Drosophila melanogaster: one gene and its partner. The protein of the gene in region 2 interacts with the protein of the main gene of each other region in a pairwise test. Each region holds a gene or a part of one and is shown on either strand. Other genes may lie near its edges.

Region 1 (9,273 bases), on a different chromosome or scaffold from region 2:
ATTTAAAAATCTGATTGATCGTCTTTCCGGTCATCGGTTTCCGGCCGATGGGGGCAAAGCGGTGGCGCAGATTGCGATCGCCGAACTTCTCTAGCTTTTTGTTAATCTCGCTGCCGCACCACTTGAAATCCCGCCACCAGGCGTGCCAGTCCTTGTAGTTATTGGTTCTATAGATTTTTGTCCATTCCTTGCGCAACTGGGTGCGCACCTTCTTCTTCGAACTGCGTCCTTTCCACTTGGACAGAACACCGGATCGGTTCGAGTCCAGAGATTCGGCATCGGACATTTCCTCGTCGTCCCCATCACCTTCGTCTTCATCAACATGGCCATCGTCGATGGCATATATGTTGGTGTTGTAGTTGGGCGTTTGCTCGAAGAAGGTCACCGCGTATGACTGCTCCTCCGGCTGTGGCAGCTTCTTGGTATTGCTGTTGATATAGGGCAGACTAATGCCGCCTATAATGAAGCTGCGATCTGTTCGATCCGCTCTCTGGCGTTTTGGCCCGGCTTTGGTAGCCCCCCCTAACTTTGGAGTAGTCTCAGCTTTTCTTTTTATCCCTGCAAAATTGAACATGTATTGTTTTTTGGGTATACCCGATAATTTCGGAATGCAAACCAAACAAAAGCATATTTATGACTAGCTTCTTGAAGTATGAAATGCAGTTGATAACTTCGAATCGGGTTTGAAACCAAGAAAATGTGTTTCAAAACTGGTTTATCAAAAATTCTTGTAGCTAGAGTACGATCCTTAATTTAAGGCATTTGAAAAAAAAGGGATATATTTTTAACGGGTTTGCATTCCAAATGTGGCTTTAAAATCATTTATACACTTTAAAACCAATACAAAAGCTCTATAAGCTAGCTTGTAATTGGTTTGTATCAAATTTTTAATTTATTAAGAATTCAAAAGTTTATCCCTTACCAGCGAGCGGTTTCGCCATGGCCGCGTTGATCTTGGTTGCCTGTAGTTTCGGTTTGATTACCGACTGACCAGGTTTGGATGCACCAGGATTGGTGTTCATAGGTTTGTTTGGTTGCGGTGCACGATTGTCTTGTGGAACCGCCGACTTCTTGACCATTTTGTTTGGAATATCAGGATTTAGATTTCGAGTTTGAGATGTGGTTGACTTGGATCTGGGTTGATTAGGAGTCCCAGCATTGATGCGATCTGGCCCCTTGCCAGGATTTAAATTTTTATTGATTCTACGATTTAAATTAGTTCCATCTTGTATGGGACCCCCAGAATGGGCCACACTTGGAGCAGCTTCATCAGCATTTGGTAGGCGGCTTCGTCTGTTTTGATTGGGACCCATGGGTCTGTTAGAGCTCGTATCGCGGCAACGATTTCCAGAACCCGATCCACGGAGAATAGTGTTTGGATAGTTCGGTGGAAAATTAGGGTTATTTGAGCCTTGGAATGTGTCATCCTCCCTTCGGGGAAAGCGTACGGTGTCACCGCCACGCGAATAGTTGTTTCGCTGATTGAAGTTGTCGTTTAAGTTGCGTCGATCGAGTTCTGGATCAAACTGGCGCCTAATGCCCTCAAAGTTACGATCGTTGCGATTGCGTCCATATGAATTACGATCATCGATGTTATGATCTTGGATGTAGTGTTGATTACCCCTTGAGTGGTAACCCTCATACTGATCATCATTCATAAGTGTATCATTTGTGTCATCGATGAAATCGGCATCATCTTCAAGAAATTCGCGTTCATCGGGTATATAGTCGTCTATATCATGGTGTTCTAGATCTAGATCCTCTTCTTCGTCAGTCCAGTCGGTGCGACGTAGTATTATTTGATTGTCATTCACAATACGCTGATAATTGTGCCTCTTTTGGGGTCCACGGTTTCCAACCTGGTCAGCGTTCACATTACGTGGATATGGTGGTTGTTTTGGATGCGCTTCAGGCGAACGGAATCGATCTCTTGGCAGCTGAATGCCGTCATCGCTTATAGCATTACGATCCAAGTTGGGTTGCTGATTCGAAACGAAGTTCTGATTACCAGGCCTGCGATTGTTGTTTACTTGGGAATGATCATTGTTTGGCATCTGAACACGATAGTTGATCTGGTGATTTGGTCCTTGAAAACGTTGGTTATTAAAGTTTGGGTTCTCGTCAAAAGTTTTGCGATTGAATTGTGCATTCGCATTACGATTGTTATGGTTATGTCCTTGAGGGAATGCTTGGTTGTTAACATTACGAGTATTGCGATTGAATTCATCATTGACTGCATTACGATTGTGATTAAATTCCTGCTCGTTATCATTTCGGATATTACGATTGAATTCATGCGGATAGGCATTACGATTATTGCGATTGAAATCCTGTGGATTTTGATTTCTATTGGGACGATTGAAATCCTGGGGGTTTTGATTTCTATTAGATCGATTGAAATCCTGTGGATTTTGATTTCTATTGGAACGATTGAAATCCTGTGGATTTTGGTTTCTATTGGGACGATTGAAATCCTGTGGATTTTGATTTCTATTGGGACGATTGAAATCCTGTGGATTGGGACGTGAACCCTCATTTCGGTTGAAATTGCGATTATTTTGATTGAATTCACTTCTGTCCATATTTCGATTATTTCGATTAAAGTCCTGCGCATTTGCATAACGATTGCGATTGAACTCAGCAGGATTCATGCCAGGATTATTGCGATTTACGGGTCCACAATTCCTATTGATTGGCTCCCGTTGTTCCACAACTCCGCGATTGTTGTTTGGGAAATTTTCCTCTCTCTGACGATTCCTAGAACGCGATCGATCCTTATTAGCCGGTGAGTTATTCATCCTGGCGCTGTGCCAATCAATGTTCCGCGGCGGCGACGGAGTGCGTGGCCGCGACTCGACGTCGTCGTGGCTAGCCACCGCTTCCTCGATGGCTTGGAGCACCTCCTTGTCCACCACATCCTGGTGACTGTCGCCCAGCTCGACGCTGAGGCGGAACCTCTGGCGCTGGAAATGGCGCAGGTTGAACTTGGGCACATTGAAGGTGCGCTGCGCCAAGGCGTTGGCCAACACCCGACTGGCGCCCAGGTCACGGAGAAATTGGCGCCGATTGTCCAGCTCGCTGTTGGCTATTTTCATGGTACCACATATGAAATTTAAAATTTAAAAAAGCAGACACGTTTTAGGTTAGAGCTATGTGGTCACGTTTAGCAAACCAATTCCAATCTAATCTACTCATGACGACAATGCTCACTGAAAATATGCATACAAATTTTAGTTTAAATCTATAATAGATTTGCTTTGTTTTGCATTTCTTCCCACCCTTTAATTGCTTTAACAAATTGTACAACACAAAAAAAAATGATAATTTCAATTGCATTACTACTTGATTGCCTTTTCAGTCGTTATCAAAATGCTGACTAAGTTTGATGTTTGATTTTTTGTCAATCTATAAACACTAAGCACTGCCACTATCTCATATTTTAAATTAAACATCTAAATTGATTAGATTAGAAATTCTATCACAGAATTCTATTCTATTGGTGTGTACTTTCGAAATGCATAGCAGCAAATCCTGTAGTTGTAGTTGTTAAGAAACTACTCAGTAATTATACATTTATGGCATCAAACACACAATAAACTGATAATCAATAGGTATGGTCATGCTTATACCAAAATCGTGAAGAATTCGCAACCAAACACCCATTAAATGCTCTTAATTGTATGACTACTGTTGATATCGTTATCATTTCGGCCCACTTTTGTTGCTCTTGCGACAACAAAACGTTTAAGAGTCGCGTCGTGTGTCCATTTCGGTTCAGAATAATTTCACCAGAGCAGGAAAATATGTTTAAATCGGCACTTAAAATCAGGAAAGAGAGTCGGTATCTTTCAGCTGGGTTTTATTCTGGACAAACTTGGCATTATTGGAGAGTCGGGTGCTTTGATGGCAGGGGGTTTTAATTGATCGGGCGGCCACCAGGCAGTCAGCGCCACAAAAAGAGCCAAGTTAAACGCTCTCCGAGGTGGCGCTATTATCTCATTTTTGTTGTTTTTTTTTTGAGCACGGAAAGCGCGGAAAACAAATAAGTTTGTTCGCAGCGCTCGCTTCGAATTCAGTTTGCCTTTTTGCTCGTAACGAGCCGGTTGTCCGTCGATTTTGAAGTGCTCCGCCGACGCTGCCCTCCATCCAAATCCAAATAGCGATCCGACCTCAACCGCTACGGCTCGTTTTGTTTCGATTCGATTCTATTCACTCCGATCCCCCACAACCGATTCGTTTGAATCGCAGCGAGTTTTTTTCTACGTAGAGGTAATTATAAGTGACATTTCAGTCGCATCGATACCGCCAACAACAACCACCGCCGTCCATTTTTGATACCCTTGTTGATATGTGGTTGTTGGATTCCGCCAAAGCGGAACAAGTGTGCCAGTGTGCGTTCGTATCTATGTGTTGTGTATCTATCTCTGTGTGTCCACATTCTTTGCCTGAAATTGTGAAATTTCCGAAAGGCTCCAGAATATCCCGCGCAAACATTTCTCAGCAAACGAAAGAAATACGAAAAAAAAAAAAAAGAACTGACGAGAAATCGATGATTCACATTCAAAGTAGTTTGATATGGTTAAGTGTTTTGTCATGCTCGCAGCTCGATTATTTAATTGATAACAGAAAAAGTGTAAAAATTGTGGTGCGCAAGGTTGTCGTACTGCTGTTCGTACGAACAAATTTGAAGTTAATTGCCTCGTGGGTTCCACTGACGTCACAGGCCTTGAAAGATGGCCTACGATCTGTGGGTTCGACAGCTTCTCGCCCAGTCCGATGGTAATCAAGCTCCAAGGACTCAGAATCAGCAGCAAGTGGAGCAAACAAGTGTGCGATTAGGAGCAATATAGGGTTTACGATGTGCAATTCATAACTGGAGCAACGACAAACACAATGGAAGAGTCTAGTAGGGGGACAGCAACAGGCAGCACACACGATAAGGTTCAGCTGTGGGGTCCCCGATAAGGAGCTGCTCGTATAATCATTCTCGCTATGTGGAAGTTGTTTTCTCCAGAGTTTGCACACTTGGCTAAATGCAGCCAGTCAGCCTTATCTCAGCTTTTTCCCTATTAATAAAAGTCATCAAGTGTCGAGTGTCGTTGATATTCTGTAAATAAATCACTCTTCTTTGGCGGTGTAAACAATTTGTGCCGGCTGGCATGATCTGATCCAGAACAAACAAACCGTGTGTGTCAGTCAGGTTGTGAAGAGAGTGGCGTTTTTTGCTGAGAAAATTGTCAGGTTTTCTCCTTGATTTTATGGTGCAGCCAAGAGATCTCCATGCCATTTTGCTTAGCATCTCATCGTGAGTCGACGTTTTTGTTTTTAAAGAGAAATTTCACTTGGGTGTAAAGGCAAAACACACACATTTCGTACAATTGAAATATTAGGTTTTGTAAGGGGGTTTTTTCTGCCGATTGTTTTGTGCTTATATAATCGCTGCGGGAACAGGTTTCGCCGTTAATTATATCGAACTGAAAATACTCGTTTCAGATGTGTTAGAATTTTATCTAAAGTCAAATGGCTTAAAACACATGCGTGTACGGGGCAAACAAGTTTTTGGCGCCCATAAAATGTGACTAGCCCAATACCTTTTATGAGCTCCGTTCAAGATTCGCTTAAAGTTTCTCATTCCTTCTTTTTAGTTGTGTGTATCTCTGTGTAAATTAGTTCTTCTTCGAGGCGGGGAAACACGTTTTAGTCGCTCATTTGTCATTGGCATTGTACAATCTCGCTGGACTATAAACTATCGTTTCAAGTGGGCGCGATTAGACCTTCCTCCAAGTGGCCCTGGACATGTAAACACTTAACTGCCGTAGCGCACAATAACGACGGCTAGATTACAAAACTTCGTACTAACTACCCGCTCAACCCTCTTTTTGTTTCAATACGATAGATAGTTTGTCAAATAATAGTGTGCATAGGAATTAAACTGATTTGTTTGGATAATTGATTTTTTGCCTTTGTTTTGACGAATTATCCAATAGTTAAGTGCAAAATACTAATTAATAACCATTAAAAGATTGGAAATTTGAATATACAAAAAGTGTGCACAAACTATAGTTAACTTACGGAATTAATTAAAAAATTTAGAGCAATTGATTCAATTTTAAATACAAGTAATTCGGATATGTTTTCAATATTCGTAATTGGTTTTTAAAGTCTTGTCGAAGATTCGTTAGGATGGGTTTTTCTGTCCTATGACGTGTTCCATTCGCGTGCGTTTGTTCGCCTTATCGCGGGTTCACTGTACCACCCCGAGCGATTACGCGCAATCGACGTCGACGTGAGATGTTTATCAGGTTGACATGGTTCCGCGCTCGCAGAGATTACTGTGCACACACAAGTGCTAAGTAGACCATAAACCCAGAGTCATGCCTACTACTAGCTGGCTGTAATCTCCGGTTAGATTCTCCGCGCCACCGGCAGCGATTGCTGTGCCATGTGAAGCTCCGGCTGTTGCAATGGACGCCACTTACCTGCGGTCGGCTGGACAATCAGCGAGTCTCGCGGCGGCGGTTTCTGCTGCGGGCCGCTGCCCTCCGGATCGGCGCCTCCAAAGTACTGGTTAATATTGTCCTCAAACTCGTTCTGCATTTAGAAAATGAAAAAAAAAAAAAACAAGTTCATCTTTAGTGGCGCAGATAGTTCCTCACATCGAATTTCTCAAGTTTTGCTTACCCGCACAAAGCGCAGGTTCTGGTCGCGAAAATTGTCGTTGCCCTCAATGAAATTGGAACGACGCGACATTTTGCTGCACGATTTCAATTGCCAGTTACGAGTTAATCCAATGCAAATGCTATTTTTGCGCTGAGCGACGAGCGAAAAACGCAAATTTTATTTGCCAGAATGGAGCTGTCAACTCGATTGAAATGAAAACTAATGTGACAGTGTGAACGCCGGTGGAAAAACATTTAATGCCATGCGATAGGCTAAAAATACTAGATAGGCGTTTTCCCTGTACAGGGTGCTCATTAATAAAAAGTAAATGACAAGAATTTTCGAGAATAATTGCTATGAATTTCTATATGAAACTTTAAAAGCTTAATCCAAATTTAAGAAATTCATTTGTATTTTTGCTGTTGCAAATGCAATTGATTTCTACTTGCTTCTACTAAGTTTTCCAAGCAAATGTATTTTAATAATTTATGTACAAAAATTACAAGTTTCACTTAAATCAATATAAACAATTAAAATAACACGCAGTGCAGAATTATACACTCATTTTCCATCCGACACCCACTGTGCCCGCGAAATACCAGAAAAATACTAGCAATCAACTTCCCACTGTCACGATTAGCGGTTGTTGTAGTTGTGCGGCTTGGGAAGGAACAGCTGTTGGCCCGAAAATATAGATCCGTTTATTTCCTTGCCGCTTTACAGTTACCACATCGCCCGATATAGCATACGCATATAGCCCAATTGCACGTGGAGGAGGTTGCCGAGCAGTCGAGTAACCATGGCGGATGACACTAGTTCGCCGATGGACAGATTCTGCGGATCCACGTTCTGGGTGAGTGCATCAGCAGTGGTGTTCAATCCGAATGCATAGTGTAAATGTATGGTTTCCGTGTGTCCAACGAACAGAACGCAACAGAGACATGGTATACCAACGATCCGGACTTTACGCCCTGCTTTGAGCAAACGGCGCTGGTCTGGACACCCTGCGCCTTCTACTGGGCGTTCGTGATCTTTGACTTTTACTACCTGAAGGCGAGTTTGGACAGGAATATACCGTGGAACAAGCTGAACGTGAGCAAAGCTCTGGTGAATCTGGGTCTGCTGGTAATCACTGCCCTGGACCTAATTATGGCGCTGGTCAAGAAGGGCGGCGACTCTGAGCTGCCGCTCTACGACCTGGATGTTTGGGGTCCCATCATCAAGTTCGCCACCTTCCTGTTGCTCTTCATATTCATCCCGCTGAATCGAAAGTATGGCGTGCAGACCACGGGATGTCAGTTCATCTTCTGGTTCCTGCTCACTGTGCTGTCGATTCCCCGCTGCCGCACTGAAGTTCGACTGGACGCGGAGCGCCAGAAGATTCTGAATTCGCAACAGCCATCCGAGCAGGACTTTTCCTGGGAGGAGTATCAGTTCGTTAGCTTCTTTATCTTCTTCACCTTCACCAGCATTATGCTGATCCTGAACTGCTTCGCGGACGGAATGCCCAGACAAACCAAGTACCAGAGGGGTGAGAACGAGATTCCCGAACTGTCAGCCAGTTTCCTTTCCCGCATCACCTATCAGTGGTTCGACAAAATGGCCCTCAAGGGCTATCGCAACCCGCTGGAGGAGAAGGATCTGTGGGACCTGAGGCCGCAGGACAGCTGCTCCGAGGTCATGCCCATCTTCGCCCACCACTGGAACCAGAACGTGCGCAAGAACTACAAGAACAAGGCGCGCGTAGAACCCAAGGCGCAGTTTAGCAATGGCAACGTGACCTTTGAGAATCCCCACGGTGAGAAGAATGGCCGCAAGAAGGGCATGGCCAGTATTATGCCGCCAATTTACAAGTCCTTCGGAGGCGTCTTTCTGTTCGGCGCCCTAATGAAGCTGTTCACCGACACCCTGACATTTGCCCAGCCCCAAGTCCTGAGTTTGATCATCAGCTTCGTCGAGGCCCAAGATGCCGAGCCCGAATGGAAGGGTATCTTATACGCTGTCCTGCTTTTCGTTTTGGCCGCTGCACAGACCTTTATTCTGGGGCAATATTTCCACCGAATGTTCATTGTGGGCCTGCGAATCAGGACAGCTTTGATCAATGCCATCTACCGCAAGGCCCTGCGCATTTCGAACTCCACCAAAAAGGAGTCCACCGTGGGCGAGATCGTCAACCTGATGGCCGTGGATGCCCAGCGATTCATGGAACTGACAACCTACTTAAACATGATCTGGTCGGCGCCACTGCAGATCGGTCTAGCCCTGTATTTCCTTTGGCAGCAACTGGGACCGTCTGTGCTGGCCGGTTTGGCTGTGATGATTATCCTGATCCCTGTGAACGGAGTGATTGCCAGTCGCATCAAGACCTATCAGATCAGACAGATGAAGTACAAAGATGAGCGTGTTAAGTTGATGAACGAAGTACTGAGTGGCATTAAGGTGAGTGGCACTAGGACTAGGGATTAGGTAGAAGCCTAATCTCTTAAGTATAACAATTATCCTCTGTCATGCTGACTGCTGTCAGAAGTCGATGCTATGTCGATTCTATGCTAACCGTTTTTATAATCCACATAGGTGCTCAAATTGTACGCCTGGGAACCGAGTTTCGAGAAG
Region 2 (6,383 bases):
CGACAATCATGTGTAAGACAGCAGGAAAATACTGTCCATCTTGTGACAAACAGCGCCATCTGTTGGCAATCTACGAAAACCGATGTTTACACATGAACAAATATTTACAACTCAATAATCCTTTACTAATTTGTTCTCGGATGCAAATTAAACATATTCTTAAGCGAAAGATCGTAATGCTCCTAGATCTCAGATTGCCTATAGGTTTATATTCATAAATAAACAAGTAAGAAAGTCCGAAATATTGAGCTATATATCATAAATATTCTGTTTTTTCAACTGCTTTCGTGAGGAAGTCATCGCTGCGAGATTCGATTTCTAGAAGCCGAGGTTCTTTTCTTGGAACAGCTTACAATGGTAAATGGTAATTGTAATAGACCAGCAAGGGAGCTGGAGGAACTGCTGGTTCCAGAAAAAGGGGGTTTGACCTCAGCACAGTCAGAGAAAAAGCCGTTCTCAACGATCTCGATTTAAGAACTTCGATCTCAAAATCTAGCCAAGATCGAATCATGCTCAGCATACTCAGGTCGAGATCGAACCATTCTCAGATTGCAACTGACTTTGCTCTTATTTTTCGATCTCTTTCTTGGTTTTTTAACCTTACCCACACATCATCTTCTACAATCTGAAACCCGATACTGCTTCCGTCTAAAATATGTATCCAACATAGAGATCGTTTTCGTCTCGAAAAAATAAGTCTTCTTTTCATGAGAATGATTGATGGGATGGTAGGGATTATCCTGGCTGTGTCCCTGTACCGATTCCACAAGACCTTGATGCTAGACGTGTTGAGGAGACCATACACACGGACAATACTCAAGTATGGGTTGAACTAGGGATACTTGAGGTTGTGAGGATCCTTAAGCTCTTTCGACGAACGCTTGACAAATATGTACAAGTAAAACTTTTGTTCTACTAACAATAATGCCAATGTGATTGGAAAAGCTGATAGTGAAATCTCGCAATGTTACTCTTGTGCTTGCTTGTGTTTTCGAATGCATACGTTGAATGAGCATTTTGGTTTCGCTCTAAAAAAGCAAGACAAGCAGTTGTGAAAAGTGTCTAAAAGGTTAAGATTTTGCCAGGCATCAGGCGAACACAACTGCAAATGTATCTAAAGGATATGAATGCCTAACTATTGTTATTGAAATACAACAAAAGTAAACTTATCAAACAAACAAATGGGCTTGGCAGTTGGAACATTCGGCTTGTTAAAGTTTCCGAGATATTGACGCTCATACGGACAGACGTACATATATGTACATACATATGTAACTGGATGGAGTCGGCTAGTGATCTCCTCAAGAATACAAATAGTATGCCCCCTTACACTTTGAGTAAATGGGAGACTACAAGAAAATGCATAAGACGGTCTGGCTTACAAATTGTATAAAAAGCATATTTATATATTCATAGAGGATTATATTGAGTTAAAAAAGTCTTCATATACATAATAAAAGAGATTTCACATTTTGGTTTTTGTTTCATCCGTTAAAGGAGTGCACTTTTAAGCGAGTAGCCTGCTAAACCGAGTTTCCGCAACTGGCCATGGGTTCCCGGGACCGCCTAGGAAGGGATCACTGTTTATTCAATCAGATCGTGCTTAGGAATCGGGCGGCACTGCAGGACAGCGGACCATGGAGGTCAAGAAGGATCGGAAGGGCAGGCTGACACGCAACATATAGTATAACCTAAATAAATTGCTCGCTTTGAGACAACACAGATAAGGGTAAGGTAAACAGACAAAAATGAATTAACATACAATATAAATCGGATTGGATTCGCTTAGCCTAGATGCGTATTACAATAATAATTCATTGTTAATCGCGTCTAAATACATAATAGGAATACAATTGTTTTCGTGTGTGGTTTCGCTTGATAGAAGTGATATGAGTTCGCTGATGGTTGGTGTTCCTTATGTTCTTTGTTTTTCTGATGAAGCAATTGCATTGCAGGCATTTGCATACGCGGCAGGTGTAAGTTAGATGTGTGTATAAATGTATGTGGTGTGTATATCTAGATACTACGGATATATATATATGGAGAATGCGAAATTAATACAGAATACTTAGCGCCCGTCGTTTCACAATTGAGAGTAGAATTAAAGCGCGATCGCAACCAAAATCTGCGTACAAAATATATGTTTTGTATATGTGTATATATACGACTTGTGTATAACTAGAGATTGCCGCCTCCGCCAAGCGCGTATATAAAAGATATACCCGCCTGCTCACTGCTGGGCCTGCATGCGCGCCTGCATCTGGGCGAGCATCTCCTGCATGCGCCGCAGCTCGGCCTCCTTCTCTTGCAGGATGCGGTCCTTCTCGCCGAGCACGCTGTTCGACACCACCTGCGAGCTGCTGTCCCGCTCGGCCTTCACGCCGTTCTCCTTGCCCTTGATGCCCTTGGCGAGGCGGTCGGAGCGGTAGTTTTCGTAGTGCACCTCCTGCGTGACCTCCTGCAGGTCCTGCATGTGGGTGCTGTGGGGCAGCGGGATAGGTGGTTAGTTAATAAGCAATCAGATATTGGAATATTTGCTTCACTTACATGAGCATCGTGCGCAGCTTGATGAAGTCGCAGTGATCGGGATTCTCTACCTCGACCACGCCCCATGGATACAGACGACCGCGCACCTTCTTGCCCTTGACCTCGAGCAGTGTGTTGGCGCCGCAGACGGCGAAAGGCACAGCTTCCTTAAGTTGCTTCACCTGCTCCTTGTAGTCCTCGTCCTCATCGGAATCACAGTCTGGCAGTGGGTAGATCTTGATGCCGTGGCTCTCGATCTCCTGCATAATGCGGCACTTCAGGCGCAGGATCTCCTTCTTTGTGAGACAATCGGCCTTTGCGATCACGGGCACAATGTTAACTTTAGAGTGCAGCTTCTTCATGAACTCTACGTCCAGGGGTTTTAGGCTGGGTACAAAAATTGATGTGATACTTCGTTTATACTTTCTATTATACAATTTGCAACACTACTGAGCTTTGAACTCCTTATTTTTAATATTAAATGTTCAAAAGTTAAACGGAAAAGGAACGCACCCATGACCGAACGGCGATATAAAGTAGAAACAGCAGTGAATGCGATTGTCCACAATGTTGCGTCTGTTCAGGCCGCTCTCGTCGCGCAGGAAGCGCTCGTATTGCTCATCGATGTACTCGAGTATGGCACCAAAGCTGTTGGAGTTGTCGATGGCATCGCCGAATCCGGGTGTGTCCACCACCGTCAATCTTAGCTTGACGCCGCGCTCCTCGATCTCCACCGTCGATGCCTCCAGCTTTACGGTTTGCTTTTGTTTCTCTGCAAGAGGGGAATGGTTTCCTGGATGAGTAATCAAAGCGAGTGATGACGAAAGACTATGCCCACCTATGGCGTCCGGAATAATGCGCTCGGGATAGAGATCGGTGAGAAAGAGACTATTGACCAGCGTGGACTTGCCCAGTCCGGACTCGCCCACCACCATTAGGGTGAACTCGAATCCCTTTTTCACGGACTTTCGATGCACCTGGTTGGGCAGGTTGGCGAAGCCCACATAGCCGGGCGTCTCGATGCTGGAAAACTGCACGAGAATAGGTGAATAACATTAGTATAGAGAACCAAAAGTCCTAGGCTTCATATATAAATAAAAATAATTAATATTAGAAACTTTCTGAGAATCTACTAGATAGGTAATGCCTTTAATTTCAGAACAGGTAAACAATCAAACATTGCTTGCAAAACCAAGAATTACTCAGTTCAATATCAGCACTATTTCTGGAACGTTTAAAGGCGAAACAAATGTGGACTTTTTTGCATATGGAAATTATAATCTTAACGAATTGCATATTAACTAAATGTGCCGTGCATTGTGTTCTATACATATGAATACATATGCGAATAATTAAGTGGGTCAGCCTATGCTGATTAAGCTATAAAACCATGCAATGCAGACTGACGATAAATCATAGTAATATTGTACATATATCTGCGGTCGATCAATTTATCTACCAATTAATTGGAACTATGTTTCTCGGTAAAACACTTTTGGGAATAGTAAAAACTTGCATCTCATGAAGAGAAAGTTGAGTTGAGTTAAGAAATGGGTTCAAGGATATGACCCAAAATGGACAAGTGATTGAAAGTATTCCATATGCCTTATTAACTCGTAACCCAACTCAGTTGGGTTGAGCTAATGTCTGGTAGTTAGGGTTTTGGGTCTTAGAAAGCGATGGCTTGGCTTGATTTGCATGCCCATCACGCGCGGATCAGTTTTCTCTTGGGCGCCCAAACTATGGGCACGGCACTCATTTCTCCGTGCACCAGAATGCACTGCCATGTGGGTCACGGGCGGCCGAAGTTGCTTCGCGAGGGCGGCAGAGGTCCCGGGAACAAAGGAACAACGCCGACGCCACCGGCATGTTGTGAATCACTTGACTTCTACTTCCACTTCCTTCTCCACTCCCGCTCAGCAATGCCCGCTCCCACCGAGTGGACAAAGGGCGGTGCAGGAGGAGTGTCCGATGAACTGGCGCGGCGAGATGAGCGGCAAACAAATCAACAGGAGCGCCGCATTCGGCATTTGATGCACTGGCAACCAGGAGTGGATGGCACGCCACGCCCAGTTGGCGGCGGATCGAGTTCGTTGGGGGACTGGCCGTTGGCCATTAGCATTTGGACAAGTGAACAGCGGCTACTCACGCCCTTTGTATCGGCCATTTTAAAAAAAAACACGAAACGAACGAAGAAATCAACGTAATGACGAACAAAATAGCAGGGCAACTAGTGTGACCGCAGCGCGCAACTGGCAAATCCTGCTGCCAGTGGGACCAGTTCGGCGGCAAAACAAAAATGACGACCGTCTGAACAAGATCAAGCTGGTATTTCTTTTGAAAATCTGGTTGAACGTAACCATATTTAATAAGTTATTTAATTATTATGGTTTTATATGGTTTATATTATATCATGACTATATTTTTATGATTTCACTTTATTAATCGGAAATTTAAGCCCGGACTATATTTACGATTTAGTTCGTAGCGTTTTTGACAGTAGATAACATCTTATGTAGATACCATGTCGAATATCTCCTGGCGCCATCTATTGTGTATCGTAAGGTATATTTTGATTGAATCGTTTTCCAATTCGCGCGTACACATTTGAAATTGTTTACACATTGGTGGCTTTTATAACTTGTAGTCTTTATTTTTAAAACAATACACATATTAATATTGGATGCACTTAAATTCACAATACATATCTATATAATCCACAATCATAGCCGCTCTAATCAAAACACAGATCATTGGATCTCAAGCGAATCGTGCCGAGCCTTAGCCTTAGGACTCCGGACTGGGGCTTCTGGGCTCTGCCGTATCCCCACCGGGGATCTGCTCCCACTTTCCGATACGCCTTAGTGCATAAACACATACATATATCATATCTGCACGGCTCTATACACATATATATGAATTGTTTCGCATGCTGATTGGTTTCAACTTTGGGTTTTTCGCTGTAATGTGTGATTCGTTAACAGAACATCGACTAGAAGACGGGTAGAATTGAGAGGAGACGCATGCAAATCAGGATTCGAACAGCGACATATCGCGGGGTAGCATCGAAATTGCGTCACTGCCATCCATCCCTATCCCTATCCCATTCTAGGTGATTAGCCGCGGAGCGTGCAGTCCATGGACATTCTCGATGGGCGGGCAGTGGGTGGCGCCGGGTGGCCCCCAGTCGTGCAGGCCGCGGGAATTCGCCAGACGATGGGTCAGCCGGTGGGCGATGCTGAAGCCGCCACTGCCCTCTAGTTGGGTGAGAACGATGATTACTTGTCTGAAAGCGTTAAGCACACGTTAAGCAATTAGTTGGGGGAATATTTTAGGTGGTCGATTGGGAGCCCACCTCTGCAGCGGGGGCACAGAGTCCACTGTCTTGAGTTCGCCGCGTGTCGACACCACATTGTAGCTCTCCTGGCAATCACATTTCACATGGATCCACTTATTCTCATGTCTATTTTCCACCATCACAACCAGACCCGCCCAGCCCTGTAAAGGAAATGCGGTCGAGTTAGTAAGGCCACCGAATCCCTAGATCCCTTCGCAACCGGATCACTTGCCTTGGTCAGATAGTAGGCGGTCATCCCCTCGCGCCCCTCGTGCCGCTGTCCCTTGGTTAGGGTCAGGCTAATGATAGCGTCGGCCAGGAGATGCGGCGAGGGACTTATCTGCTCCACCAGCAGACGCTTGGAGCTGTGTATCGCTAGGATGCATTGAGGATACTGGTGGGGATCCTCGATGCCCGTGTGCCAATGGTTGAAGGCCAGACACACAAGCAGGTAAATGTCCCGCTCCAGCATCTTGTGGCATCCCACAAAGCCTCGCACCTAAATGGAACGCAATTGTTA

What was found. The genes of interacting proteins can lie anywhere in the genome.
Region 1: the proteins of Septin1 (region 2) and Pih1D1 interact in a two-hybrid assay, tested with the Drosophila melanogaster proteins (one large-scale study listed by BioGRID).

What each region holds. Positions count from the first base shown.
Region 1 is NT_033779.5:12,714,972-12,724,244, forward strand, and holds the start of Pih1D1 (PIH1 domain containing 1), read right to left. Parts: upstream 6,873-9,273; 5' UTR 6,751-6,872; coding exon 6,682-6,750; intron 6,592-6,681; coding exon 6,480-6,591; intron 4,270-6,479; exon of another isoform or gene 4,074-4,269; intron 3,086-4,073; coding exon 923-3,085; intron 559-922; coding exon 1-558. Other genes in the region: MRP (Multidrug-Resistance like protein 1), read left to right, coding at 7,460-7,513, 7,588-9,099, 9,235-9,273.
Region 2 is NC_004354.4:21,356,686-21,363,068, reverse strand, and holds Septin1 (septin 1), read right to left. Parts: upstream 4,784-6,383; 5' UTR 4,694-4,783; coding exon 4,676-4,693; intron 3,558-4,675; coding exon 3,365-3,557; intron 3,299-3,364; coding exon 3,040-3,298; intron 2,914-3,039; coding exon 2,548-2,913; intron 2,481-2,547; coding exon 2,231-2,480; 3' UTR 1,381-2,230; downstream 1-1,380. Other genes in the region: waw (waclaw), read right to left, coding at 1-10; sol (small optic lobes), read right to left, coding at 5,635-5,812, 5,882-6,024, 6,096-6,362. UniProt on the Drosophila melanogaster protein: Involved in cytokinesis. May be involved in p53-dependent apoptosis.